Lepisosteus oculatus: one gene and its partner. The protein of the gene in region 2 purifies or fractionates together with the protein of the main gene of each other region. This does not show direct contact. Links are inferred from orthologs where the notes say so. Each region holds a gene or a part of one and is shown on either strand. Other genes may lie near its edges.

Region 1 (15,731 bases), on a different chromosome or scaffold from region 2:
CTGGAGACCCAGATGAGAACAGGAAAAAAAAATGTTTTTCCACCATCAAACCACTTTCAGGTAAAGCAAAATATAAACAATATGTCAATTATTCAACTACATGAAAAACACTATTTACCCACCTTTTTAATATAAAAAAGAATGTTAGTTTCTTCCACAAAAGTGATTTCTTGTCTTTGCCGACAACTGAAAGACTGTTTTGCAGTCCACAGATGGTTACAATCAATTCCTACTTGACACTTGTTTCTTACTGATGGCTTTCTCTCAGGGTGTTAGATATGCTATGCCGATTGTTGCCTACAGGCAGCCTGTTTCCATATTTTTTGGGAAGAGCAAAATAATAATAATAATAATAATAATAATAAACTTTATTTTATATAGTGCCTTTAAAGGTGGCTTCTCAAAGCGCTTTACAGGATGACAATAATAAATAAGAAGACGACAACAATAAATAAGAAGATAATAAACATAATCCACATGTAATAACACATATGCTCTCCTATCTCTCAGTCTCATCTCTTTCCTGATGGCCACTCTCTCCCAGCCCAACTCCAGAAGACCCCAGTAATTCTCACACAGCAGGATTAAGGCGTGGGGTCAACGAGGCATTCATGGGGTTTGCTGCTGTACCCCCTTCCTCGGCCAAACCCTTCCTTAGCCCAGTGAACCCAAGGAAAAGAACACCTCCATACACAAGACATCAAGAAAAGACCCCTGACACCAGAAACAAAATGCAGAGGCAGCCATCTTGCTAGCAGCAGTAGAACTAACCAGCAGAATCTACCTCTGCTACAAAGGTAAATGTACAGTTGTTCAGGTGGGTAGCTGCATCAGCATTTGTAGGTTTCAAAGTAACAGGTAATAGGTTTATTTTTAGAAGAATGGAAACACAACGTTTTATTGACAAGAAGAAACATTTTGTTTCCATTCTACTCTTTTCAGCATGGAATAAACCTATTACTTGTTCCCACACAGGTAAATGTAGTGAGCAGCTGTATTTAAGCAAAAAAAAAAACAGCAGAACAAGGGGACATTTTCCCCTCAAAATAGCTGAGTTGAAGATACCCTTCCCAAAACACAGCCAAATCTGAGCAATCTCGTGTCCTGTTTTCGGATTTTGTTTTATAGAGACACAGAAGAAAATGCTGCTTCACTCAAATACTTTGTTTTGAATTTGCAATAAATCTGAAAGCATCGAACAGAAATAAAAAACAGATGCAATACTGCCACCTCAGATTATTCTCATCCATTTTCATCTGCCACGGAGACATTTCCTTATAGTGAGGAAAATGAATAGAGGAAGACTGCCCAATTCTGTGAAAGGGAAAGATCTCCTACCTTCTTGTAGTTGTTGCAGCTGTCGTTTTAAGGAGGCCAATTTGTCCTGGTACATTCTATAAGACAGAAATGCAAGTAAGGCGAGAGGGAGAAAGTCTCCTGAAAGTGATAAAAGATGCGGATTCTTGAAAAGAAACACTGTTATTTTAATTCTATCATTACAGCAAACTGTGCTGTGAATGCAAAGTAATACAAGGCCGCAACACCTTAAAAAACTGTTATTTTATTTCACTGAAATATAAACGAGACTGATCTTGAAGAACCCAAGTTTAAGAAAGATTATACTATTTTACATAATACCAAAAACAAAGAAAAAGTGGTTACATGGTATAACTAATGACTGACACTGGAGGGCAGTAATAATTTCTGTTTGCCTATGTAAAGCCTGACCTCTAAGAATCTACAGTTTCTGTTATTGTCTTGTCTAAAGACATTCGTCATCTTAAAATAAATGTGTTGTCTTCCAATCCATAACATAAAGCCCAGGAGCTCCAGATGTTCTGAAAAATGTTCTGCTGTAACACTCACTGTTCTTTAATTTCTACGTAGTCATCATCATCCTGCTTCGCCAGATCTGTTTCACTGGCATCTTCTGTGTCTGAAAAAAATGAACAAAAAAAAACAAACATTCAGTCTCAGGTTTATTTTGTTTTCTTGAACTGACACAACATAGGTGAATTCATGATGCTGATTAATATTTGTCATCATCAGGCCTGGTCAGCAGTGAAGGTCAAAGGCTACTACCCTATGTAGCCACCATGGAAAAGCATTGGTAGTTGTACATCTGTGACTCTGCACCATGTTGCACGTACAGTCTTGTACGACTCTGTCCAATTCTACTAATAAAACCTAGACAAGCATGGCTCTTGTTCACTGGTCTCTGATTCCTATATGCCACATGTTGGTCCAGCTTTGCACACAAAAGTTCAATGGGGTTCATGTTGGCCAGGCAGCCCATCAGCAGCACAACCGTCACATTCTCATCATACAAGAAAGCCTTCCTTACACGGGGTGCATGAAGACGTGGGCTGTGAAAAAGCCTGGAATGCTGCCGGGTCAGGATGAGCTTGCAAGAAGGGCAGCGAATAACATCCCAGGACTTCAGCAATATACTGTCAACTCACCATCAAAAAAGTGGAGGATTGTAGCAACTAGACACCCTTGCCAGGCTATCACTCCTGGGCCTCTACACCTATGGGTCTGTTATTATGCGACAATTAGCATCTTGTTCTACTCCTCTGCACCACACTTGCAGACTCCATCAGGAATAGTTCATATAACACTTTGATTCATCACTACAAAAAGCCTGGCTGCCCTGCTGGTGAGTCCATGCAAGACGATTTGGCATGAAAGATATTGTGCTCTCGGTAAACAGGGCAATACTGATCTCCATGAGATTCACTAGGTTCTCATATTTGACATGTTAAATGACATGAACACCTCTGCCCAGTCCACTCTCTCACTAATGACTTTATTGAGTGCTTATGCAAGAAAGCCAATTGAGTCCATCATGACTAGTCAGGAGGGATCAAAAAGATGCTAAAAACATTTAATCAATGCCCAACATACTTTAATTTTCTAAAAAATGACATGCATAAACAGAATGCTAAGCTTCTTTTGATGGTTGACATTTGTAAAGGAGATTAATTTTGTACAGAGGAGTCCTGAAGGCAAAACATGAGAAGCATTACAAATTGTCAGCTGTCCTACGAAACAGATGACAGTATTCCTTGTGTAGAGGATTTGAATTCCCTTCAGTATAAGCAGTTTGATCCATATCACCTCTTGTGTTAATCAGCATTTAGCTTACTTAAGATTTTCCATTTCTAAATGCCAGCTTTTTTAAAGAAATTGCATTTTACAAAATCAATAATTAGTCTCTAATGAAATCAATAAATGCACTTCAATAAAAGGCAATGTGGAAAATCTTGTTTTGCAATTAGCATGTTATTGATGAGTTAAATACTACCTCCTATGAAGTGTCATCTGTCTGTTTAAAAAGACTCAAAGGTTGACATGTCAGACCTCTAAAACACCCTGTACTGGTGGACACTGCCCACCATTAACATATAGTATTATTCATGTACTTTAATTTATAAATGTTGTATGAAAAATAACATTTATATTTTAAAATTAAATTTAACAACAGGAGTATATCTCTGGGCAAAATGGTTTGATACAATGTCCTTCAGTCAGAATTTTAATTTTTACCAACTTCAATAAAGAAGTTAAGTTTAATACAGTCATGGCCTTGTCAGAATTGCATAAACCGTTCAAAACTTTCTGCAAAAACCCTTTTCTTTAGATTTCCCATGCTTTGGGCACAATTTCTGAAATATCAAGAAAAACTGATTTAGCAAAATTGGCCTTCAAAAGACTGGAGCCTGCCTTACAACAGGCATCCTACAAATGTCCCTTTTTTTTGTTAAACATGAACAGATTTAAAGTAATTGGTGTGATAGTAATACAACTTAAACGTTTGTTTCACTGTTACTAAAAAGGTTCAAATTGCCTTTCTTTGTCATTTGGCATTTGTCTTTTTAATTTTTAACACAAATAACTAAATAACTGCTGACAATACGGAGTGCTTTCTATTGCATCTCACAAAATAGATACTGTGTGTAGTATATGCAAGTCATACTTCAAGATGCTGCACATATCTGCAGCAACACAACAAAGCCCACATTTCACAAAGCAAGCATTCTGTCCAGCTTGACACCACATTAAGAATGCCATTTACCTTCGTTTGCAATAAGCACGTGCGCGTTACCAGCCATTCAGCTGCTGTCCTCTTACAGCACAGTGGACATTCTGTACAGCAAGGTGACGTCACTTAAGAGACTGCAGAAATATGGGTTGCTTGTCACAGTTTTTTTTGCACACAAAGTAGTTTTTAACATAACATTTTCGTGGAGAGCGGCAAGGAGGACGCCGTTTGCAGCACTTTAACATTTACCGTTTCACAGTTCACAAATACAGAATTCCCCTCACACACCATTTAACGTAAACCTCAGAATCACAAGGCACCTTAGTCTCTCTGTTACTCGATTCGGAAACATCGTATCGACTCGCGGCCACTATGCAACATTACTCCAGAATATTTCCACAATCTAAACTACAGCACGAAATTTCTAGATCTACAGCTATAGTTGTTGGTGCAATCAGAAACGATTTAAGACAATTAACGATCCTCGACTTTCCCAAAGGTAACCGAGTTAAAATGTCCCCTCATTTCGGGCCCCGACGTTACAATAGCCTCGATAGTAACTCAGTCTCTAGTTTTGCTCCAGATAAAACTCAAACCAGACTTGCCTTCTATGCGTAGTTATGTAGCAAATGATTCGCTATACTATCACACCCATATCGCCCTATTTTTACCATATCGCATGCAATTCAGAAACTGAATCCAGCCGTAGTAAACTGAACGCTTACAGGACAGGTTTATGCAGTCTGGTAGAATAAAAACTAAAAGTACAGCAGGTATCTTTTGCAGTTTCTTACATTACATCCAATACATCTGTACGATAATCTATACTTAGATTTAAATGAAATACAGGCCCACTGATCGCAGTCCTTTAATACGTTGCCATGGCTTCAAAGGCGAGAGAAACGTTAAGGTCGTAAGCGAAACGAGTACAGCTTTCTCTTTTCGTGTCCTGCTTCAACACAACTGTTCGTGCACTTTAAATGACACTGCCTCCGTCCAATCCGGTAAAAGCTTCCGCTACCGCAAAACCAATTACATCCTCATTTTCAATCTCTGTCATCTGTCAATCAACTGATTGTGGGCAGTGAAGTTCTGAGTTTCCTTTCCATTCACTAAACAACAAATTACATTGGATACTTCACCTAAGTAAAATATTCCATACCCATAACATGATTTATATTTTATTTGCCTTAATCTTCCCTGATTACCCTATGAGATTGTGTTGATACTGTTTGCTCAATATAGGTACATGTTTCGCACGTCCAGTGCTTTGTGCAAAACGTCAAGAAAATGTATTTCCGGACAAAACATGCACATGAACTGAACGTGCTTTACATTTGTTTATTTCGTACGTCCCTCCCCATCTGCTTGAGGTACACATGCATCAAGGCGACCGTTCTTCCCGGTTTGATCTTCCGGAGACAACAAATTAAAAGTACGGTATATCACTAGGTTTCGACTACTTTAGCAGACACTCCTAATACAATTCCATTCAAATGTCCTGCAAGCAGAATCTACTACAAACCTCGTATGATACTGCACTGAAAACAAGGAAAACAACCCGACTGAACAGTAAAACTCCACATTTTGCAGTCGTTCGTGTCAGTACCTTCCTCTGAATCTCTCCCTCTGTAACTCCGATCGTCGTCCTCATCTACGCTGTCCAATTCTTCGTCGTCGTTGTAATAATCCACAACTGGCGATAACAACGCCGAAGTCATTTTATGTATTCAGAAGAAAATATAATTAAAAAAATCTTTACTAACGTTTCTATATCGATACACATATGCAGCTCTAAAACACAACAGCACCCGAGATGGCTAAGACCCCTCGATTTTCGAGAAGACCCATGTTATGCCTGCTATGAAATTATACATTCGTGTATCGGTGACTATTTTTTCTGAAAATATCTTAAGTTTTAGAATGAAATATGAGAATATATTTTTTTAAAATTGAAATAAATCTTATGAGGTTACATTTATTATGAGGCATACTTTCCATTTCCGCCAGGCAATGTAAAAGACAGCTTCATTAATGAGCGCTCTGTTGAAAATTATCATTATTCAGCTCTCTCTAACTGGTATTTACTTTATTTCTTACAACGAAGCGTGAAATGGTTATTTGTCTTTGAAAATATTCGACTTTGTATATTTTGCATGCCATTTAAAAACAATAATCGTTCGCGTCTGTCCTTCTTATATATACGGCGCGAACACGGTGGGTTATGGGAAATGTAGTTTTTAATTATTCGTTACAGAGCAGTGCAGCGAATAACTACATTTTCAAATTTTGCAAAACGTAGAAATAAGAAAATGTTTTCATGATTACTAGAATGAGTCGCTCCTTTTTATTAGCAATGTATCGAATTAAGATTTGCTATCTATACAATCCTATTTTTAAATCCATGTTATGGCATGGCTGTTTTTAATTATTAGGCCGTTTATGAAATATATTTGTGGCTAATAAAGCATAGTGTGCATTTTTCCCCATATCGCATAATTGCTTATTAATGTTGCAACAATGTTAAAAGCAATGCCCAAACTGTTTCCAAGTACCATTTCTTTCTCGTTGTCAACAGTAGATGGAGCCGTAATCCGTGATTTGTACCTCGTCTGAAAACCATTAGTAAAAAAAGTTTAGTAAAATCAGAGTAGGAAATGTATACAGTATCGATTTTCATAATTTAAATTCAGCTGTTCACCCTGGAGGTAAATATCTACACTTGTCGATCTGTAACGAACATTTACTGATTCTGTCAATGTGCATTTTCCTATAAGGCTGGTGCCTTTGACCTGAAACGTGTCTTATTTCGGTCTCATCTGGTTAGATTTTGCCCAGCAGTCACTTAATGTTTTCATTGCCTTACCATTACCCTTAACATACTGTACCCAATGCAGAACCCTTGTCAAAATGCTAAATTCAGATCCCTTCCACGCATTGGGATAGACAGCTCTCGAGTGACCGAGCCCTAAAGCAGCTGTTTGATATCTCACATCAGAACTTTTATGAGCAATATTATATATATATATTATTTCATCATATCTCCTTATTATTTCCTCAAACAAGTATTTTTTGACACGCTGTTCGTTTGCTATTTTAGGGTTGTGTTAGGCAGGCCAAATTGTATAGATAAGTAACTTGAGTACAAAAAATGTCGTGTTGACTTGAGTATGAAAATGCCTTTGAACGCGTGTTTCTTCAGATGAACAAAATGCAATTTCCCGTAACACGTTCCACGGGAATACCTAGAACTGAGAACTGTCCAATGTTCAATTTAAATATTAGCTGTAAAGGCCCCTTTAGTGGTGTTTCTAATTAACAAAATATGTCCAACCGCATCACCTGCCTGTTAGTACATTTTTTTAAAATCAATTATGCGATTCCTTATTTTTATTTTTTGCATCATTTCCATTTTTGGGCTAAGTATTGAAGGGCCGATAAGAAACCTTAGTACGAAGAGTTGTTGTTGTTGTTGTTGTTGTTGTTGTTTTAAATTGCCTTCTACTCAAAGGTGAAAGAGACTACACGTTTGGGTCCGAAGCAAGTCGAGCAAGTCCTATTCGGGTCAAACCTTCTGCCCTCCAGCACCGAGGGTTAAGAATTGCGCAAGAGAAATCATCGATAACCGATATTCCTCCTTCGTGTGCGAAGGTCTTGTCCGCCCGCTGATGCGCTCTGCGCTCGATTGGTGCATCCTGAACACAGAACCGCACCTCAGAGTCCAGGGCGAGAGAAAATAGAGAAGAAATATCCCAATCTGTATTTATCATGTTGCAAGACGAAATAGACTGACAACACCAAAAGTGAGTACCGCCGCTCTCTTTACCGCACTTTAACAGCACAGCTGCGAAAGACTTGCGTGACTTGGGTTTTCGAGGCGACGGAGAAACGAGGATTTTCTTCTTTTTTTAAAAAAATCTTGTTTTAACTCTTATTTCCGCTTGTGGATAGTGACTATATTGCTGCTGTCACGACGTTGCCGGGCCTGGCGAAGACGAGTCTTCATTCAGGAAGTCAAGCTGCATTTTTAAAAAAAAGAGATCGAAACTCCCAGTTGACAAAAAAAAAAACCCCGAAGGCGGACTTCATGATTTTGATCAAAGTTGGATTTTTTTTCTGGAGGAGACCTAACGCTCGACGGTCAGTAGATGAAATTATTTGGCAGCGCGTTTTTGTTTTTTGTTGTTGTTGTTTGTTCGCTTCTGCAGAAAGGAGTTAATACAAGTTTTTAAAGAGCAAGTGGTGAACGCAATGACGTGGTGTAACTTCTACACGCCGAGTTGAACTTGAACTCAGGGGGTTGAGTACAGGAACTGCTACACCTGCCCGGATCTTAGATGTGAATATCCTTTTTATTATAAGGTTCTGTTAATTTTCTGAACCTCCCGGCAAAAGGCTAAGAGGCCAAGTGGGGAAGTCTAGGAAAAGCATCCTAAATGTATACCACGTAAGTAATTTAGTTACGGTTTCGGTGTAATCATACAGATACGTGCGTACTGCCCTGTCTCGCATATTTCCTTATTATCGTGCACGCTGAAAAGAAACTAGCAGTGAACGGGTTTTATTTCTTAAAGCTGCTAATCTCTCGACTGGGTACAGCACTTGATGTGAAGTAACGTCGAGCCGTGGTAATTATGTAACTTATTTTGAAATTCGTGTCTTTGTACGTGCTTAGTACTATTCAGAACGATAAACCTGACGGTGAAGCACAGGCTGTGTTACTTCTCTGTAATTTACTACCCAACCTGCATGATTATGATTATTTTTAATTTGACGAACGTGGTGTACTCGTTGTAAGAAACGCAGTGGCTAAAGATGATAGCGAGGAATAAATAGAGGTACAGTACTTGTTTTTTCCGTCCTAGGTTCGACAGTATAACTAGGCCTAATTAGCATTTTTTTTTATTTAAAAAAAATCCTGTGTCTGTTCAACCCAGGTCTTAATACTAACCCAGCAAAAATGTACCTTTTCGACCAAGACGCTATTATTAACAAGGTGTGATATTAGTATCCAAAATAATACACAGATGAACTTCTTCAGACGACGGTCTCTTGAAACATTCAGAATGTAATAAGATTTATTAAACGCAAAACCACAATTTTGTATTTGAACGATTTCGGTAGCATACGCCTATTTACGAGCGAGTGCTGTTCTAGATAACGTATGGCGACTGACTTCATCACCTTACCTCGCACTTTTATTTATTTCTTCACGGAGATCTATCCTCTTGCCGTATCAAAAACGAGATGGCATCGCGCATTACACATTCGCTTCATTTTATTTGATTCGCAGTAGTTCAAGCCCTAAACGCGATTTTGCGTTGTTTGAGACGATGTTGCTGTTTATTGTCGGTTTTTGTTACACTCGTTTTGAGTACCGGTACAGAGTGGTTCATATAGCATCAGTATCCCTATAGGATTCATAACAGCACTATCTCTAGACAATTAAATGTGAATGACGCGTTTATAAAAAAATAGGACTTGTAGTGATACATCGATCCTGCTACAGCTCGAAATAAATTATCTTTAACGTTCAAACCAGCAATTATATTTGCTGTAATGAAAAGAAGGTTTAGCACGAAAAAAATGAAAAGCACGTTTAATGTTGTGCTTCAGGGTGGTATGTGTTGACATTTTCAGCAGTGAGTACACCTCTCCTCAAAGCTCTGTTTTTAAAGAATTGTAGAGGCATAAGGAAGTGATATCGCGTAAGAAAATAGGGAAGAGACTGTTTTTTCAGCTCTTTGGCTTCTTGGTTCTTAGAATGACTGTTCTTAAGGGGGGGGAAATGTTCTTTAAACTGTATACCATAAATTGTTTTCATGTTCCAGCAACGTGCTGGGTAATTTGTCTGTCCATGGAGCAACAATGTTACCAGACAACATGTTGAATATTGGCAATGTTTGTATGACCTAGTACGGTATTTTCAAAACATGTCTGCTTTGCACAGGAACGAGCTATTCTGTTTTCACAGATGCACGGTCTCTTTAGGAGTACAGTATTCATGACAGCATAGCAGCAATATTTAAGCACTCAGTCTTTATAAGGACTTACTTGAAATGGCTTACAATTGTTAAATTGCTACTATTTCATTTGCCCGTGGAAACGGAAATTATTCCGTTATTATTTTGTATCTTAGTTCAGAATTTAAACAAAACATACGGTACAAAGTAAATTGTAAGCATAACATGACGATTTAACCTGCTTTTTTCTACGGAGGCCCATATCCGAAATGCATTGTCTAAAGGGGTTGTCTTTTTCCATCAGTGATGTTCCTAATGCAGAGTAATTTCTTTTATCAGTCAGTGAATCTGTGGCTAATGTGTGGTTATTAAGGGACATTGCTCCTTGAACAGTCATAAATTGGAAGTTAAATGGTAACCTATTGTACTTTTAATCTCATTCTGTGTAACTTATAATGCTGTTATTTAACTATCCTAGATATGTACCTTATTAAATTATTCAAGTAAAAATAGTACTTTTACTATAATGTGCTAATGTTACAGCCTTGAGATCTTACTGTGACAGTTTTTTTTCTCCTTGGAAGTTTTTTTTTAATATGGATTCCTACATAGGAGATTGAGTGCATATTGATTAAACCCAGATTGAATAAACAGAGAGGCTTCAGTTTTAAAGCCCGGAATGACAATTAAAAGTTAGTTTTATGATTTAGACTTCATTTTTAATCGGTCTTAGATTCTGTTGTGTTTTTGAAGGGCGATTAGGTGAACAGGCAGTTCAGCTCTTTTCGCAGTCGGTTCATGGGCTCTCTGCTAAGCAACGCCAAAAGCGATTATGTGAAAATGTTGTGTTGTCAGATGTGCAGTAGAATCAGACTAGGCTGTCCAGTATCCACGAATGTGCCATAGATGCAGTAGATCTTGTCCACAACCGAGCCACAGCGGATCATTGGGCTGCAGCTTATCCTGGTTTCCTTGGCGTTAAGCAGACGAGAGAGCACGTGACTCCCTGTCCCCCTTTTACAGCACTCCAGTCCACTGCAGGGATTAGCCCTGGAAATACAGCTGGGTGGACTGGAGCACCTGCGTACAGTAGCAGTATGAAATTGAAGTACCTGAAATTTCCCCACAACTCTGTTGTCCTCCTCCCATGCATACAGTATGAGATTTAATTTTTGTAAAAAAAACATAGATAAAACAAATACCATAAATGTCCAATGTCTGTAATTCTGTTACACGTGGTTTCCTTTAAGGTAGAGCTAAGTTTTCCTCTGATACCCACGGATACATATAGATTACTTTTACCAGGCTCAGAAGCAACAAATACATGTAGATTAGTTTTACCGGGTTCTGTGTTGCAGGACAGGAAATGTAAGAGCAGTGAGAGAAAATGGATGTATTGCCGATACGCGGAAACAGAGATGTTCGTTTTTCTTAAAGGTAGCTCTTTTTAAGTATTGTGTGTAGCCTAAACTAAGATTCTCAGCGTGTGCCCCAATGTTGAAAAACCTTGAATAAGTAAACATTTTATAAATCCTATAGCATGGGATATTGCACCTTTAATAGAATCTCAGAAAGAGGCCACTGGTTAATTCATGTAGTTTATTTGGCACACCAGATCGAGTAGGTGAGTTGAATAATGACTAACGGCAGCAACTCTTTTGTTAGGAAGCAGTGCCTGGCTAGTTACCGTTTTAGTTCTAGCCCAGTCTCCAGCCACTGCAAAACAGCTTCTGCCAAGTCAGACAGGCCATAGAACAGAGCAGAGCTATAAAGCTTGGCAACAGACTTAATCACTGCACAGAAACTGCTCTGTAAAGGGCTTTGTATAATCTTGGTGTGAATGAAGTTTCAAATCTCCAGGAGAAGGATTCTCAGCGCTGGGAACAGACTTTTTTCAGAGTGCTAAGAGAAGAATCGTAGATGATTTACAAAGGATTTCTCTTCAAACAGAGTGACGTTCCACTTTTCTCCCCAGTTCCACTTTTCTCCCCAACGTGTCTGGGGAAAAAAAAAACATTTTACAGCCCTTCAGGGTAGACAAAATGTGTCGTTTTCTTTTAGGAATGTATTCTGCCGTTCGTAAATAACGACCTTTTGAAAAAGAGAATGGAAAAGAATATTTTGGAGAAATGGCATCTGAAATGTACAGTACAATTGTGAATGGGGGGTGCTGGGGGATTATTTTCTCAAATTTTAGGTGACCTGCTGTATAGTGGTGGATGCAGAATACCACTTATATTTGTGGCTACTCTGTCCACGTGTTCTTTAACCTGTTAACCTTATGCTGTGCAGGATTTGGTTTAATATTGGGTTTTTTTTTAATCTGTATACCTGAGAATAGTCTATTTGAGCCTCCACAACTGAATTAAACCATCTCCTAAAAGGAACTGTCCCACCCAAATTTCAGTATCGGGGGCATTAAAAACAAACGTTTCTTTTATGTTGTACCCCAGTTTTGCAGATGCTAAATCGGGCATTTGCTGATTTGGCATCTACATTTGTAGACTGTTAGTTCTCATTTTGTTGTAGTGACCGATTTGTGTTACTGTATGTACTACATGAGGGTTTGCTAAAATTAAAAGGCATGTGCACATATGAGCAGGAAACCCCTTCGTCTCAGCATGGTGTTTCTTTATTTAGAGTCGCGGAGTATTAGAAATATTTCTCTGACAAGTCTTTAGTTGATCTTTGATCAGTGTCGTTTATAGCATTGTGTTATCTATGAATGCTATCTAAGAGTTTCAAAGTGGGGATTGTGTAACATTTTCACATTTGACCATCCCTATACACCTTCATTTATGTCGGCTTTCTCTTTAACATTGCAGTTAATTGCAAAAGCAATGAAGTGATAGGGTGTTCAGTACATTAGGAATGACATAATTGCAATAAGAATACCCTCTTAAATGTCTACAAGAATATTATTTTGCCTTTTCTTTCTTACTGTTAAAATGCATATTGCTTACTTGAAAGATGTTTTGATGATTTTGTAAAGAAATTAACATCTACAGTCAGTATGCTGTATATTGGTGATCTTTATTACAGAGAAATTTATAAATGTGTGTCACCAGTTTAGGCAGTGTTCATAAAGCCTTACAAAATGGTAAATTAAAAGAAAAGTTACAGTAATGTGAAATCTAAAACCAAGCATCATGTGGGTTACCATAGAAAGGTTGCTGAGCAAAGTAGTCTGACATTCTGCCTGTGATCCAGCTGTTTTGAGAATTACTCATCAGCCCAACAGCAGAGGTGTGTCAGGAGAAAAAACGTAAAAACTGAGTATGGAGAAGATGTGGTCCTGCTGTTAGCTTCATGTGAGCAGTAGGAAGAGAAAACAGTTTAAATTAGCCTGCCTATTAATTTCCTATAGTAGAGTTACTAACTTGCACAGATATTCTGTAACACCATGGATCTTTAGACAAAGTTGAAAACCTGCTGGCACAGTCTTCACTGTGATGTTTTTTAAACAGATTGTGAACTTTTGTTTCACAGCTGATTTTTTTAAACAATATTGTGTTCATTTAAAAGAAGTTATCCAGACCTTAAACTCTTTATTTCTGCAAAGCTGTGTTTGTCCATGTTTCAATGCAGGAAACTCAAAACAGGGAGTGCAAAATTTAAATTTCTTAAATGAATGTGCACAATAGCCTATATTTAAAAATGACGCATTTATTTGCCAAATGACATTAATGACATTTTACAGTGAACTGAAATTAACTCACAACCCTGGATAGTATACACACCCAGTATGACCTTGCTAAGGTTGCATTTTCTTTGGGTCAAAATTCTGAAAATTATAATTTACACCTACATACAGGAATACAAATGATGATTTTTAATATCTTTTGAAAACCTCTCCACATGTAATTTAATGTATTATTAATTCAGTATATTTTTTAAACGTTCTCTAAAGTATGCTGTTTTGGTCAGTTTAATACTTTCGGGTTATGCCATTTTGTCCTCTCTGGGTACTTTAACAAGCTGAAGTGTACACATGGCTTTGCGGAGGACTGACAGGAATATAGGCACGCGAGTCTTGAAATACCATCTTAAGAACTTTTGGTTTTCATCTGACTAGTATCGCAATTTTGTAACAATCTTTATGAAAATATCAAAACTTTTAAATTTACAAAACATCCCTTGTTCAAACGCTTCCGGTGTAGCAATCGGGTAAAAGGCAGGGTCTAAAACATTGTAGAAATGGCTGCCTAGAAAAAGAAATGTTTTTAGTGGTTGCATATTGATGTGCAAACATAAATTTCTGTTAGCTTTTTGCGGATGGTATTGTAACAAAATCGCTCCAATAACACGGATCAGCAGAAAGTTGTAGTCTTCAGCTGCATTCTTCGAGTGTTGACCTCAATGGGTGTGGGCTGCAATGTAAAGAACTTAATTACGGCATCTGATCTGCTTTGGATTTTCTGGTTAAAATGCAGCTGTGAATACAAGATTCTTTTCATGCTACAGCAGCCTTCAGTTGCTTTCCTCCTTGCATTTGTCTGCCTGATTGGAGGAAAGCTGCGTATCGGTTTAATGGAATTGGCAACCTGTCTTAAGCAGCTGATTCTCGCTGCTGACAGAACGTACCCATGAAGGAAGCTTGTCCTAAGTCATGGTTGTGTTTAAAACAATACGACAACACCAATATGTATATTCAGAGGCGATTACCATGTCATGGGGGAAAAAAATAATAGCATGGCTAAAATGCATCTGTATCAGTTTGCTTACTAATAAGATTGACACACTTTGCTGAAATACAAAAATAAGGTAATAAAATAAGGCCAATGTATTTTTCTTGTAAGGTCTGCAACAATTCTTTTTAGTAATCTACACAGCATTAGTGGTGCCTTGAGTAGTGTGATTATAATTGGCACACATGCATTTTTAATGACCCTGTGTGTTTTTCCTGCTGAGAACAAAGTGCAGTGATATAATATTGAATGCCTGTGATAAGTCTGTCGTAAAGTATATAGTACAGTATTGGGAAATAACTGGAGATTTCCTATCCTCCTAACAAATTGGTTGGAAGTATCTTATTTTAGTTAGGAAAGGACAGTCTCCTTACTGGGATATTCACTTAATCATATATTAAGAAACTGGAAAATCATGCTGATGAAAATTGTATTTTAAGTTCTGTTCTCTCAGCTGTGTTGACTCTGATGGTGGACGTGTTTACTTTTTAGCCTGGAAATGACCCTTTGTATTGTTTGCAGATTGCCCCGATTTTGAAAGAAGTGGGTGTTCTCCTCTATGTAAATATCTTTGTATTGAAAAGCACTATATACATGCAAAGATTTTATTCCTCTGCTGCTTCTTAAGAAAATCCACCACATATTCTGGTATAGCATCAATTGTTGCATCAAAAAAATGGATGATACTTCTTGTATTGTACTGTTTAGGTTTACTTGATCATCTTGTGGGTTTTTTCCAACTGCTAGGTCATAAAAAGTATTTTTTGTCTTGTCTGTAAACTTGAGTATGCAGAAACTCCCTTCTGTGCATGGTATCTTCCATGGTTTTCAGAGTTCTTGAACAACATCAACATTAATGAATAAACAGATAATTAAATCCCTTTGTGAAACAGCTGGATTGTAGTTTTTCAGTCACTGTGATATATTTGTCCTACTTCCCTCTTTAAATGTTATTCCAAGGAAGTTTAGGGCTAATTCACACTGTGAAGTCCTCTTTATTCCTTCTTTATATTTGTGGTCTGCAGTCCCTACAGC
Region 2 (15,843 bases):
GGAGGCAGAGAAAGCATATTACAATACTGGGGTGGAAAACCAATCCATATCTAACTGGTTTATCACTCACTTAAGAGCAAAGATCTCAAACAGTAAAACAAGAATAAATTGCAAAAGGCAGTTGCCTTCTTCAATTTTTTTTTTATAGCAGCTCGGACTTCTGTTTAGAAACCGCATTGTAGTATATAAGCTATTAAGGCATCCAAATAACTCCTTTGTAAATCCAAGCCAACATTTGCTGACTTTCACATCTCAGCTTGAAAGTCCAAACAGAAGGGTCGAAGCCAAACATGTCTTGTTGGTGTTAAAGCACAGTGTGACATCTTATTTCGAATTCTTCTCAAATTAAATATAAATTTGACAAAGATTCATTCTCTTCACATTTCACAGCACAAATTATAATCTTTCAGAATCTGCAAATAAAAAACATAGGTAAAGAAATACTGAACTGATATCACATAGAGACAGAGGGCGGAAACAGCAACACTCACCTGTTGTCACTCCTAGCCTCCATGGTGACTGGGTTTGGAGAAGACCTGTGCCCAGCTAAGCCTGGTAGGAGGCTTGCTCTTTCTCCAGGGTAATCAGGCTGAAGGCGTGGAGAGGTATGAGTTATGGGCTGAGGAACCACCTTCGCTGAAAACACAATTTTGAGCTGTTATTCCAACTGCATACATTTACATTTAGAAATGGTTGCCACAATACCAAGTTAGATATTCCAATTTGCCTTTCTTGCAGCACCTGATTTTTTAAAATAACAGCACGTTTAAATGAGGATTATTTTTTATTCGGAACTGTGGTTGGTTTGGAGAATATAATGGGGTTGTACAGAGGAAGGAGTAAACATTCTTACCAACAGGGATTGTGGAGGTGGTCACTGCAGTGGCATGCGATGAGTGAGAGGGCATCGTCATGGTAACTATTGTACTGGTAGTTGTTTGGGTATGGCCCACGGATCCTGAGACAGGAGATGAACAAGATCAAAAGCTCCAATATTATAAGCAGCTCCTTAATTAAACAATACCCTTGCATTTATCCACCATGTCTTGGTGGAATAAAACCATATTGATATTCACCCTGATCGCCAATAACACATAAGATATTGTTAAGGACATAAACAAAAGGAACAATACCCCTAAATTCATAAAGCTCAATACGTCAGGAAGTTGTTTAGGATGTAAAACATCTCGATGATCTTTATATTATTCCCTTTAGTTTATATAATAATACCAATTTTCACATTATTGTATTTCATACCATAATAGGAAAATGCCCTTGATGCTTTTGTTTCATTCTCAAGACTTGCCTCTGTCCCTGCTTCCTAGAATGAGACACTATTTTCTGGTATAGATCGGCTTACACGATCTACTCACTCAGCGCACTGGATAGCGAGACATTTGTAATTAAGATGCAGCAATTGCTTTCATTACTTTCAAAAGACTAATTTTCTTTAATACACAACAGAATCCTTATTTTAGTAATGTTTTCAGAAGAATCTAGATACAGAAAATGCTAATCTAAGTCCTAAGAGTTGCAATAGTAATCATATCCTGTTTGAGAAATACCTATGCTTAATTCTCAAATATTCACTAACACATCATTCTATTACTCTAGAGAGATCTGCAATATTACAGTCTCTCCAGAGAGCAGTTTGGGGCTCTTGAAGTTATTGCTGCAACCTACCAGTTGTGGTTGGCGATGCCACTGTGTTCGTGGCCAGGATTGGGGCTACTGTAGCTGCAGCAACAGGAGGCACGTTGCTATAAAGAGGTTTCTGAAAGAAGCAGAAATAACAGTGAAATGCTGATTAAAGATTATCCACTTTATAATGGACACTTGAACGGATCCTAGTAAGCCCACAATAGGCCTATGTACCAATAAAGCATCCAGATACCACTTATTTCTGATACCTGCTGAGTCATGGTGTGCAGCTGCGGCTTCTGGGTACCGATGGCCGGATTGGAGGGCAGAGTGATGCGCGTGGCACTGTCTCGAGACTGGGGCTGCCGCTGGATACTAATGGTGGCAGGAGACTGGTGAATGGTAAGAGCAGGGCGGCTACAAATCAGATAAGGAAAGGGAGAGCTAAGCCAAGTGATCAGAAAATATCAGCACCCTTGGGACAGATTTACAGAATACGCTGCATGCCTTCACACATTGGTACGGCTCTCTTGGATCAACAGCTCTGGCTAACGACTCCCAAGATGGATCAAGGTGACGAAGCCTTCTATTAATGCAATACCCTGGCCATGCGATGGTGGCCAACAGGGATCATGTCATGGCCTCCCTGGTACACATGCATGTACCATCGTCTTGAACGGCTGTGATGGTCCCTTTACAAGGCTCAAGTAGGTAACTAGATCACCAAACCTCAATGGTATTCCAGCATTGGTATGCGATATTAAAACAAGTTAACAATCAAACAGAAATAACTTTCTCCTAAATTCTTGAAATGCAAAACTGGCCAGACAGAGCTGCTGATGTCCCCACCCGTGCATCATCTCAGCCGTGTGTGTGGCCGCAGTGGTGATGACTGGGGACTGGGCCCGGGTCGCAGAGACTGGAGCCACAACAGTAGGAAGCACAGCTGTGGAGGTGGTGGCAGGGGGGCGAGACTGAAAGAGAGGGGGGAAGATCTTAGTCTAGAAAAGCTTAATGGGTTCCGATTTTTTAAGCATTAGCCACGTAACATGCAAGACCTCCCAACGACTGCATTAAACGTTTTTGCTAATGCAACATCCGGCAACAGTCAATGAGTTAAGGAGAAATATTTATCTATAAAAACTTGATTACTTTCAAGCAAAACAGAAATGCTATAAATACAGGCTAGAGTATGTGAAAATCAGCTAAAATAAAATTCAGCTTTTCAAATTCAATAAATAGAAACATAACATCTACACATTGTGTGTAGAATAAGGCATCTATAACACTCCAATGAGTTAATCTGTGAAGAGTGAACAGTTATTCCGTTAATGGTAGAAAGACACCACTAATCAAGATACAGAGACCTTACACCTTGTGTTCCAGTCACGGCAGAGAAGCTCTGTACCTGGATGGGCTGGTGGATGATGTGCTGCACAGTGGGCTGGACCGCCCCGGCGCTCGGACCAGAGGCAGGACGCAGAACCGTAGTCACTTTCGAGCTGGACATCACAGCGGCTGCTGCTGCTCCTGTTTAACGTCAAGAACCAATATACCCCCGGCTCCTTATTAAAATACGACACCCAATTCATCAAATGCTATAATGTACAGACTATTTTGTTAGGTGCTGTACTATCCTAAACTGTTATGGAAGAGAAAGAGTAAGCAGAAAGCCTCCACAGTAAAGGCGGCTCAAAATACATTACAATATCCATATCAAATAGCTCATAACCAATCATGTAAGACGGCCTCCTGACTCCTATAAACACTTATATTCTCTTACAAACCAAGGGCTATGAACTCATTCATCAGACATTTTCAACTGCTATCCAGGTAAGACAATAATTAATGCAATCATCACCTTAAAAGGTGAACTACGATGTGCTATAATTACATCCATTAATTGGAAGGGATACTTTCATTTTACAGAGAAGCATCTAAAGTGCCTGACTGTTTTAAATCCAACCATGCGATGTGCCTTTTCAATAAACACAGATACACTCAACCTTTAAACTGCCAGGAGATTAACAGGTTCCCCTTTTTAAAAAGCAGACAGGCTGACCTCTGGGTAAGTGGGAAGTAAAGGTATGAGGTGGGGCCGCAGGGGACGCTAACTGGAGTGCCGGCGTGCTGCCACGGATGATCTGCACATTAGCTGCCATTAACGGATGCAGGTTACCGGAGTGGCCCTAAGAGGGGAGAGAGGGAGAAACATCCGCAAAGGACTTAGCTCACGCATTCGCGCATCTCAAACAGAAATTTCAAAAGGCCTGCGACATGATAAAAAAAAATGCAGACGTGCAAAAGGTCCGGCAAATGATGCAAACACCAAAATACTTGAAACTGGTGTAACGTCCCAGTGAAGCACAGCAACCTTAAGGCCCTTGAGAGAAGACGGAAAGGTGCTATCCTCTCACCTGCTGCCCACTGATGGTTGCCACGGGGATAGCTGAAGTCTGAGGCATGCTGCTTTCCATAGTAACTGTGACATGACCGGGAACCTTGGCTGGAACAGTCAGGTGACCCTGGCTAGAAGCTGGTGCTGGGGCAATGGGGCGGCTAGGCATAGCTGGCTTCAGGGCAGACTGAAAAAGCACAAAGAACATATCAAGAAAGATGCTGGAGCAGAGATCACACGCCACATGCCGAGGATCAAGGGCCTCCCCAAGCAGCTCAACCACCTAAGGCTCCTGTCCAGAACAGAAAGCAAGAATGAGTCCTATAGTCCAGACAGCACTGGTGAGTGCCAATGCCATGCCATTGGCTATTTGTATCCATAACTGAGCCTCACTGGCTTAGCCAGGCAAGTTAGCTTGCAAATGGTGCCTCCCTTTGCTTGCCTGACCCACAGAAAAACATTTTTGTTTTGCAGGGCACAAGCGAGCTAGCACTATTGTCCACAAGAGAAGCTCCACTCCTCCGATTGACAGAAACTCTATACCAAGGCACCGCTGACTTGTAATTTGAGTGAATAGTTCTAAGAAGTCAAGACTAACAAGGCTGAAAGGCTTAAAAAATGTTCTTCAAACTCTTACCAACTAGAAACCAACCAAATTGGTTGAGCCAAATACCTACTCTCCCATCTTAGGATTTTAAGTCTGCATAAAGAAACCCAAATTGGGGGGGCATGAAAAGAAAAGCTTTTTTTTAAATCCTGACTTCATTTAACATCGTATGGTGATCTTAGTGATGTGTCTGCTTGATTTCCACACTCAAGCACACAATTCCTCTATTACTTTTATGCACATGGCACTCAAAACTAAGAACACCCGGAGGCATAGAGGAAAGTCAGGAATATAAATCAATACATTTGGCACCATTCTGTTTTAAATGATGTACAAGAAAAGATCAATAGCACAATTTATACGTTCAACTGTATTAAAGCCGCTCAGTAAAGATACAGCTCAGGGAGGGACAAGGATTTAGAATTAAGGAGAACTGCAAGTCAATGAAATTTTGCGGGGTCTTCATTCATTGGGTTACGTTAAAAAAATGTAACTATTAAAAATTAACAACTGGATTAAACCTCAGAACAACTACAAAAAAATGAAAAAATGGCTATGGTCCTAGAGGTAAAAGAAACCCATGCCACACCTCCGGCGGCGGAGTCTATCGGCCGATTCGACGCCATGAGCTCGCCGTGCCCTACCTTCATGGACGCCTCGGTGAAAGACAGCGGCAAGGCCTGGGCGAGGTGCGGCGGCGGCGCCGAGACGGTAGCCGGAGGGCCGGCCGGCAGCGGGAGGTGCTGAGGCAGAGTCAGGGGCTGCCCGTGGGGCTGGACCTGCGGGTAGGGCCTGACCACCACCGTCTCCTGCTTCTCGTCGCGGAAGGCCAGGGCCCCCCCGCCGCTGGGCGGGTGGTCGCGTGGAGTGTGCTCCGGCTCCCGGCAGCCTTCCTCGCCGCCCCCTGCGAAGCAAACGCGCAGCTCGGAGGGTGAGAAAACGACGACGGCCCTGCGGCCCTTTTCCACGTCACAGGTCTGAGAGCTAGACGAGACACTTGGGTCCTTCTATGACTTATTAGTGCAGGATGGCTTTGGTTACAAGACACTCACAAAAAATCTGCTCCACAAGATTATAATAATAAACTTTATTTTATATAGCGCCTTTAAAGGTGGCTTCTCAAAGCGCTTATTAAAAATTACTCAAAGCGCTTCTCAAAGATTCCTCTCTACGCAGATTCACTGAACCTTACAGTAGGCTTAATTATTTCAAGCTTTCTTTTTTTTTTTTACCTGTGCCAGTCTGGTTTCCTGGAGCCAGGCTGGAGTTTCCCCCTGTCATCTGTGCTTGTCCCAGGCTAGAGGCTGGAACTCCTGCCCTTGGAAACTGCTGGGAGCTCATCTTTTGACGAAGGTCCTGTAAATGCGGAGAAGAGTCTTACTTTCAATCGAAACAACTGGATAGGAGATGAAAAAAAAAAGATGAAAAGAATGGACTTTTCTCCGTAGCCGGCTGGGATCATCTCTTGGTGGGTGTTAAATGAGATTTTCCCCACTGCCAAAATCGCAAACAGACATCCTTCGATGGAGGAATCCTATTTGCTTTAACAACGTTAGAATTCTCAAATTCTGAGAAACCAAGACCATATCTTATACGTTATACAAGATCTTAAACGTTCATCGAGAATTGATACGACTCCCACGAGGACTGCAATGAAAAACGAGACAAAAAAACCCCACATATCACTGGACTCGAAATAGTCTATTATATCAAGGTGCGACTCCTTTACTTCAATCGCCTGCTCCATGAATGACGTTATCGGCACTTCCCACCGTTGAAATAAGGCTGGATTTTCATTCATTCACGCGATTACCGAAATTAACAGTTGATAAACCATCGGTTTATGAACTTCGATTAAATATCCAAAGCGTCGCTGCTTCTAGGTAAGATGATCACAGTTGCATTTTGAAAAGCTATATTTACTTATTCGTATGATCAACGAAATGTTGTTTAAGAAAATCGAGGTATTAAACGATTCCTCAATACCGGGCATGCATTTTTAGGGGAATTGTAAGGCTTACTGGCTACGCGCAAGTGCTTTGTTTTCGCTTGGATGACGTTATGCAGTTATTCTAAATGCTTACAATCATACAGAGATCATCATACCCTTCATGATACTAGAAAGTGGTCTCCGAGGACCAACGCATTCACGATATGGTGAAGGCAATACGAGTTATGTACGGTCTACACTCTTAGGAGAAAGAGCAGTACCAGACCAGTTAGCCACCAACAACACACCACTTTAATTCACTCCGGTATCGGGATAAACGTGATTCGCTTCCTGTGGGGTCATATCTGCATCGCAAACGTCCTTAAGCAAACCCAAAACAAGTAATTACAGAATCATCCGCGCACATATTCTTTTGTTTTCCTCCCGTACGTGTCATGAACCTAGAAAAAAAAATCGGAGATGCTCGGCTTTCTAGGATAATATGCGGAAAAAAATGACGCGTGGACAACAGCCGAAAAAATAGCAATTTGACCAAGTAGACATCGTAGGAAACATCATGCATCCCGCTTTTCTCCGACCTGTATTTTCAAACACGCTAAATTAAAATAGATGCTAAGATACTGCTATAATGCACTAGAAAAGTCATTTGCGGACAAAAATGAAAAGAGTCCCTTACCGTACAGATTTTCCCAAATTTTCCTTCTTCTATGAAAATGATACACTTAAGTCAAATTCCAAAACAGAATATCCACTTCGCTAAATAATTTAGACATCTACCCGACGACGTCGCGGAATTCTCTTTCTACAGCTATTCGTGTACTGAAAACAAATACCTAAAAGTCTAAACTCATTTCTATAGCCGTGCTTAAACAGGTTCAAGCTTCTCCATCCGTCTCTGCAACAACACCGGAAGGGGAGGCTCTAACCTTGGAGGGCGCTCTGGCCGCCTGGCCAATCACAAGAGAGAAGGCAAAGCGCCTGGCCAATTACAGACGGCCCGCTGAGGAGGACCGGGAGACGAATAAGCGCCAATAGGCACACAGATCCTTCATCTCTAACCAATCGCATCGCATGAAAATGTACTGCTGCTTAAATGGCCAATAGTAGCAGATATAGTCGCCCCTTATTCACCAACAGAAAGCCCACCCATTCCTTAACGCTCAGAGTTTAAGTGGAGAGTTGTCTACTTGTGTGAATTTTTAATGGATTCTCTGTTTACAGTCGACAGGGCGTGTTCTATCCATTGCTAGAGTATCGGGAAAAAAAGGTTTTGACGTGCAATAAAACAAAAACACGGCTGTGAAGATTTTTATTTATTTTTTTTAGCGGGGTTGGGTTTTCTTTTTGTCAAAAGGGGTTTCTGATGTCCACTGAGAGGAAACAAAAGGTCACTACAAACCGGAAAACATTTGTTGTGCAACACAGAAACAAGTTGCGCAACAAAGACCGTGCAGACGTGAAACGCTGCAGCCCCGAATCCATCTGATAATAAAAGAGGTGGCCCGATAGGCTGCACATCCCTGATCAGGGTTAGAAGCCGAACCTTTTTTTCGAATACAGAATCACAATATAGAATTGTTGCCATGGAGTGGAAAGATTTCTGGACGCGTAAGAAACTGGAGGAGCTCTGTGACCTTTGGGAAGCAAAGCCCTCTCTGTACAACCCCAAAGTCCGTGAATATCACGACAGATGGTGTAGAAAACACGATTCCGAGGAAATTGCCCAGCAATTGGGTACCACTGGTAAGTGTAAAAAAAAACCTTGTACCTAGTCCAAAGGTGGCGCCATATAACTTAATTCAGAATTTACGACGGTTGAAGAGGAAATCCCATTTTAACTGGAAGTACTGTTCAGTACTTTCCCGACGAACACATTCAACAAGAGATGTTCCGTTGTCTTGTTTTGTCATTCGCCAAAATTGTGAGAGGCTTTCAGGCAGTCTTGGAATATAGATATACGTAGCTATGTTTGCGTTAAATAACCTGTACAAACTGTTTTTACCTAAGGATATAGGAAAATGGAACGTGCAGTTACATTAATTACATTATGTTCCCTCAAATTTTGTTTCCTGGGTTCCAGATCACGGTTGTCCAGTTGCTTAAAAGTAAGCATAAAAAAAAGACAAGATTTAACAATTATCTATTATTTTCCAGGAGAAGAGGTACTCAAAAAAATAAAAAATCTGAAAACTCAGTATGCCCGGGAGAAACGAAAGGCAAGCACTGCTCAGAACGGGTGTGGCGAAGCCTTTCTCTCTAAGTGGTATTTGCTTCCACTATTGAAATTTCTGGATGGTTTAATAGCATCCAACCCACGGGCTGCGAAACCCAATTTAAAGGTAAGTGCAAAATAGGAACAGCAGCCTGCACATGCCAGCACTGGGCAAATACACCCTTTCCACTGAACCCAGATGCCCATCTCTTTTCTCTCCTACCAGCTTTTCCTTCAGAATGTAAGTCACAGTAAAGTAATTCTCCACTTTTTAAAAAAACATCTAAGGGCAATGCTTTTCTGCATTTTTCTAGTCCAGGAATTAGGATTGGGAAGTAGGTGTAATTTAATGCTTTAGTTCTGAGGCTGAAAGTTTACTGAAATCTTTTGGAAATGTTTCTTTTCTCTACCCTTCTTGATTACAGATATACAGTAGTGTTTGCACTGATTTTTTCTTAATAGGTTGGGAAATCACAACAGAAATGAGTGGAAATTAGTGTTAGATCCCAGCACTTTCAAAAGCACAAGCTGAATTCCAAAACACCAGTACTAGTAGTAAATACCAGAAATGGCAAACCATGATCCATAAGAGCCACAATCCAGCACGTTTCATGCAGTGCACCAGTGTTTCCTAACCCAGGAACTCCAGTGCGTGCTGGTTTTCACTGCTGCCAAGGTATTAATTGCAGCCTAATTGATTCCAGGTTTCTGTTTGAGGAACATTTCTAAATTTGCTTTTTGTTCTGGGATATATATGCAGTTTGTATTTAGTACCCTGTAAAAATGTCTAGATCTCTGAACAGTCCTCATACATGTGTGTTGCCTCTAAAGCAGAAAAAAATGCTCTTTGAGGGCCTGTCTGATACAGTGTCATTCTGATAGTGTTATTTCCACCTTTGTTTCTTCATCATCAGTTGATTGGCTAGTAATTCAGCTAGCTGGGTCAGAAATAATGGCCAGCAAGCTGAGGCCAGCAAGTTGGGTATTTTGGACACTCAGGACTGATCAAAGAAACAATTGAAATAAAAGTCTAAACAAGCAAGCCGATCAATTAGCACTAGTGATGTAGAGCTCGGCTGCTGGAATGGAAAAGCCGCTAATAAGTCCACCAACAGGACCATTACAGCATTGATTTATACAGATTTGTAAATAGTGTTTCAATTAGATGTACTTTATTGGTAAATTGGAGTGTTCGGTGAAGGTTAGTGGAAGCAGAATGCACAAGAGTGTTAGTTCTCTGTGTGGGAACTTAATACAATTAACAAAATAAATTCATTGATGTTATAGAAGAATTTTACCAATTGCAAATTAAGCATGAAATTGTGGAGTTTGCGAATGCACTGTAAGTTGCTATGATGTCGCCAACTCACAAGCGAATTGCGACGTGATGCGGCCCTTCCTGCTCACTAGTCTCTGTAATGACCAATGAACTGCGATGTACAAGCGAACGAGCACAGGTTGTGCAGCAGACATTTCACTGCTAGAGTGATCTGCATGTAGAGTTGACAAGTAAGTAGCACCTGTTGGCAAAACAGTCTAAAAATGGACAGCAATATTTCTATTGGGTTAAAAGAGATGCATTCAGAAGCCCACTTGTTTATCATGTAATAGGCCCTCATCGGGTCACCGGACGTTTTGTTGCATTGTTCTGAATCCTACATCGCGGCACTACGCACACCTGGAAATGTCGGCGTATTTTGTGGTGTAAGTTGGGGGTTTTACAAGCTGGCGTGTACATTTTACTTTTATTGTGGTTTGAAATTCAGTCATCAATGCTGAATCTTTCTAACCCACGAAATATAAAAATGGCATTGCTGTTCCCCTTTAATTCCCTGGAACCCCGGCAAACTCAGCCATGCTCTCCAATCTACAGCCAGTCTTGCCTTTGGAAGGAATCTGTCCCATCCCTATTCTGGGACCCTTGTCACACTCAGCTGGGCTCCCCCTTCTACTGCCAGCCTTCCCTTCATTGGAAGATACAAGTTCCCAGTTTCTTTCAAGACCTACTGGCATGCTTCACCCACAGGCGCCCAGTTTCCAACAATAAACCCTATAGACTACTACTCTACAGAGATTCTGGAAAATTTCCAATTAATCTAAGAATATAGAACACACTATAGAAAAACACCCTGCTAAATTCTCCATATTTCTTAACTACATCCACCCATAACAAGACCCTTACACATCTTCGTTAGATCTTTCTAACTTCTCAAACCCAAACTGGTGTTAGGATTGCTGACTCACTGCTGATGTTCAAGAACAGGAGATTAATAAATGCACTATGAAATGTGGGTGCCACTAACATGCTCTTAGTCCCTGAATTGCATGAGCTTAAATGCAGCACTTCTGCCCTCTACACCTGACTGCTGCTGCTCCTGAGGAGTATCCAGTTATGTACAGGGCCGATCAGCTGATCCCTTTTCTGCCTGTGGAATTCCTTTTTCCAAAGGCGGCAAATGAGTCGGGCAAGCAGGTGTGTCCGGTATACTTCCAAGAAGCAAGAGGCTTTTTAAGTGAGCTTCTGCTTGCTCTGTCACAGTCACAAACACAGACACGCACATAGTCACACCAGGGCCAGTTTTCCCAGAAGTCAGGTTACCTACCAGTATGTTTATGGACTGTGGGAGGGAAAACCCATGCAGATAGCATCCCTGTTTACGTTGGAACAAGTAAAGGTTTACGCCTTGCTGAAAAGAAAAGAGACAGAATGTTTCGACTGTGCAGCCTTCTTCAGGTGTGGAAGAAGGCCCCACAGCCGAAACATTGTGTTTCCTTTCTTCTCTTTTCAGCGTGCAATAAACCTTTACTTGTTCCTTCGCAGCCTGGGCATGCCGACACAGCTCCCTACTTGAACTGCCTGTTTACATGTTCCCAAAGCCGAGATTTCCATTCTGCACAAGCCCTTGAGCCTGCTGAGCCTGAACAGGTGCCCTGTTTCCATATATTTGGCAGACTCCCGAGAACAGTGCCCGTCAGACCGTCGAGGACGTAAGCGCAGGAGAACTGACCGAAGATGAGAACGACGTGGGCGCGGAGGAGGACAGCAGAGAAGGGAACCCTCTGCCGCGCTTAACGAAGCGCGCAGCAGGCGGTCACGTCGCTGCGAGAGGGACAAACAAACGGAAACGAAAGGCTAATGAAGCAGCTCTCTTTGCCAGAGCCGCTTCGTATATACAGACAATCTCGGACAATTTTGCTAAGGGAAGGCTAGCCTCCCAGGAGGATGCCTTTGACATCTTTGGCAAACACATAGCCTCAGAACTCAGGCTGATGGAAGATGCTCAAATGCAAAAAACGGCACGGTTGCGTATCCAGCAGGTCTTGGTTGACGTCCAGCTGGGGTCAGCCCAGCCGCCGCCTCCTATCCCTGTGCCACATCACCCTCTCTGCGGTCCGGTCATCGCCAGCTGCAGCCCAGCGCCATCGTTTTTCCATGTTATCGCTCCGGATTCTTCTAAAACCAACACCCACGCCCAGAGTGAAAGCAATGCAGTATCGTATATCAAAACTTCACCTTCTCCGTAGGGACGAGCACACATCCTCATCAATTCCTCTCTTCCGTGAGACCAGAGTGGAGGGTCAGGATCTTTGGATAGTTGATTGGGATCATTCGGTCTGAGGGGGACACAGCTGTTTTGTGGTAGTAGCTTAAGTCTTCCGCTCATCGTTGGAGAACGTTTCGTCCGTTCCAGCATCGCACTGAGCTGGAGTCTTAACTCGGCAGACGGGCACAAGGCAGGATGCATCCTTGATGGGACTGAAACATGCAGACTCCACACAGAAGGTGCCTCAAGCCGCCAGAGCTGTGAGGCAATATCACACTGACTGCTACATCCCCCTGTCTTCCAATATTGCAGTTTGTATTTATTAAAAAAGGAGGCATGGTTCTTCTATGAACCAAACGTATGCATCCACAGCAAAACCGTGTCAGTTTTGTTTTTTGTGATTGACCTTTTTTTTGCAATCAGAACAATCAATTAACAAATATACAAACAATAACACCCCCCAGGAACAAAATCCCCCCCCCTTCCTTAATACAGCTTTGACTGGATGGCCAGTCACAAGAATATTGATAAACCAACTCTGTAACTAGAGGGTGGTAGCAGGTCCATCAGTGCTATTTATATTTTCTACAGTTGCCTTCCAGACTCACAACCATGTGGAATTAAAGGTGCAAAGGTGAAGATAAAACACCTAATTATATTTATTTTTAGTTTAACCCATTATCCCATGAATTTCACAGGATAAGACTGCTGAAAGCAACAGTCATGTGTTTGGGATGCCGTGCTCTACAGGAAACGTGGCTGGAGCACTGCAAGAAAACAACTGCAAGAGCAAATGTTTTTTTTTGCAAATTAAATGTCAAATATTTGCCTCTTTCTTATATGTTTGTCATAACTTATGGCAAAAGCTGTGTGTCGCCCTTATATTAAGTCAAAGTGTTTGTGTAGGTTGAGTTATTGAAGAAAGTCTGTTCAGTCTTACGCCATGAACGTCCATCTGAAAACATAAGGGGACCTTGTTCAAAACTTCGGCACTTAAATCCTTTCTGCTTTCTAGGGGGTCTGAAGTGCCCAGGTAGTTTGAATAAGGCCCTATATGTCAAAGACATCTGAAAAGACAAGAAATGCTGAATTATTTTAGAAATCAAGTGTTTTTGTCATGTAAATGTTCATTGAGAGCAAGAAGTGCAAATATTTTTTTATCAACCTTTTCCAAAACTTGAGGGATATTTAATCAAATATCTACCTGATTTCTTTCCCATGTATGGTATGGAAGGTGATTTTGTTTAGTACAGTTGACATAACAATTATCTGAAGTCATAAGTGCATTTCATGTAGGATACTGAATAATTAACTTATCTAAGATTGTTTCATAACCTTCTGTTAATTCTGATAAAAGGATTGGAGATTAAATTGTTGAAAAGTTTTTTTTTTACTTCAATAAACTTTCACATTCCTACTCTTAGTTTGAATGGAAATTTGTCATTTTAACAGAATTCGTTTTCCCAAAATGTTTAAACAAAGGGTTTAAACAGTTTCCTTTTTTTCCATTATGCCATGATACCATATTTCGATTATCTTCTGAAAACTGAGTACAGTTTTCGTGAATTTGTTTGGCAAATGCACCTTCTGAACCCAGGCTTTAGACACTCACTTATAGTTGCCACTAGATGGCGGTCTGTAGCAAACTGACAAAAAGCATTTCACCAACTCCCTTAATTCCTAGTGTTTTATGTAATATTCAACAACATATAATATTGATTTCAAGAAATTACTTGGGCCTTTTTAAAAATTGCTCAAATTGTACTTTTAAACCATTAATTGTGTTAGCTTTTATTGGATTGATTTTCAATTATAAACAGGTTAGTCAAACATTAGGATGGAATTTCACACAAAATCTGCATAGCCACTACGAACTGCACAGAAAGAATTGAGCTTCTGCCAAAACTTGCTCTGTACCAGTTTTGAAACACTTTGTCATCTCAAATGAAAGCTTTCGTTGCTGAAACAAGTTTCAGACTTGGAATTTAAAAGCTAAATTTCGTAGAAATGTGCAGTATTCGTGGTATGTAAGCATCTGTCAAAGCAAAAAATGCAGATGTTGGCATGGATCCTTATACTTCTTCAACCAAGGTATTTGTTTGTAAAGAATTGTATTAGTGTGATTTTTTTATTATTGAGAGAAATAAACTGTCACAACAATCTCTATTTTGTCGACCAGCCATGTATTTGTTCATCTTACTTGTGGATGGCGCTATGCAAATCCAATCCAAACATGTCATAAGGAAAAAGCAGGGATGTTAAACAGTGATCCTCACATCAGTAAGTATTGAACTGCCTTGATTAAACATGCCTAATGTAACACATAAAGGTGTGCCTTAACAAAGAAATGCATATTTTCACATACTGTATGTTAATATGCATAACCTCAGTTGGTTATCATTTTATTTTGTATTTTTTGGAATGTTTTGTGAGACAACGTTTGCCACAATTAATTATTATTGACAATTATTATCCTGTACTTGAGATGTAAACAATGTTTTATTAACTTTCACTCAAGCTTAATATTAAAATGTCAATCAGAATATAATTTACCATTTTATTTGTAACTTCTTGCTTTATCATTTAAAAGTATGTCAGTGTTTTGACTACATACTGTAGTATATCCTGGAGACTGGACCTTTACAATGCATCTTTTGAAGAGATGTATGTGAAGAAGTAGCTAGAATATTTTATTTTTTAATTTTCTTATTCACTTTTGTGCACGTTGTGACACTTTTGACCAGACATTTTTAATGACGAGTCAGGATCTTGGTTTTACGTCTCATCCGAAGGACAGCACCTTTTTACAGTATAGTGTCCCCGTCACTATACTGGGGCATTAGGGTGAGTGCCCCCTACTGGACCCAATAACACCACTTCCAGCAGAAACCTTAGTTTTTGAGCCAGGTATTGACCTGGTTCACACCTTCTGAGCTTCAGTGGGTTGCCATTTGTGAGTTGCAGGGTGATATGGCTGCTGGCTATAAATATAGCTATAGCCAATCAGTCTCAGGCTATAGCCAATCAGCTTCACAGCACGTCACTGGGAGGAAACCAGAGCACCTGAAGAAAACTCACACCTTTAAGTTAAACAAGGGGAGAACATATAAAACTCACAATGAAGGAACACCCCACCTAAGATCAAATTTAGGACTCTAGAATTGTGAAGCACTTACCTAACTGCTAAACTGTCATTTTTTTATATAATGACTTATACAGTACAATTTTAAATACAATTTCCAGAACAACTAAATGCTAGGCTATTTCATGCTCTAAAATTTGTCAGATGGGTTGTAAAATAACTTTGTGACTGGCACTACTTCATATTTCATGCCGAGTGTCCCAGGTCACAGACTCCTACAGAAGCCATTTCTTTTACCAGCATAGGGAAAATGCAGTTTAAACTAAGTAATTAATTATAGTATGTAAAACTTTCCAGTACATTCCAAAACACTGGTGTTAACATTCATGGTTGCCAAAGGATAAGAA

The links.
Region 1: the proteins of sap130a (region 2) and suds3 purify together in Homo sapiens (affinity purification with western blotting; 3 studies listed by BioGRID, with this or other methods). This does not show direct contact. The link is inferred for Lepisosteus oculatus from reciprocal best matches to the Homo sapiens genes SAP130 and SUDS3.

The regions. Positions count from the first base shown.
Region 1 is NC_090717.1:4,407,967-4,423,697, forward strand, and holds the start of suds3 (sin3 histone deacetylase corepressor complex component SDS3), read right to left. Parts: upstream 5,885-15,731; 5' UTR 5,767-5,884; coding exon 5,655-5,766; intron 5,016-5,654; exon of another isoform or gene 4,116-5,015; coding exon of another isoform or gene 4,079-4,115; intron 1,937-4,078; coding exon 1,867-1,936; intron 1,395-1,866; coding exon 1,339-1,394; intron 1-1,338.
Region 2 is NC_090708.1:10,116,148-10,131,990, reverse strand, and holds the start of sap130a (histone deacetylase complex subunit SAP130a), read right to left. Parts: upstream 7,500-15,843; 5' UTR 7,274-7,499; intron 6,003-7,273; 5' UTR 5,988-6,002; coding exon 5,879-5,987; intron 5,551-5,878; coding exon 5,291-5,550; intron 4,227-5,290; coding exon 4,059-4,226; intron 3,831-4,058; coding exon 3,704-3,830; intron 3,172-3,703; coding exon 3,050-3,171; intron 2,616-3,049; coding exon 2,491-2,615; intron 2,059-2,490; coding exon 1,911-2,058; intron 1,775-1,910; coding exon 1,684-1,774; intron 959-1,683; coding exon 854-958; intron 637-853; coding exon 492-636; intron 1-491. Other genes in the region: uncharacterized protein, read left to right, coding at 8,181-8,340, 8,752-8,936, 11,762-12,334. UniProt on the Homo sapiens protein: Acts as a transcriptional repressor. May function in the assembly and/or enzymatic activity of the mSin3A corepressor complex or in mediating interactions between the complex and other regulatory complexes.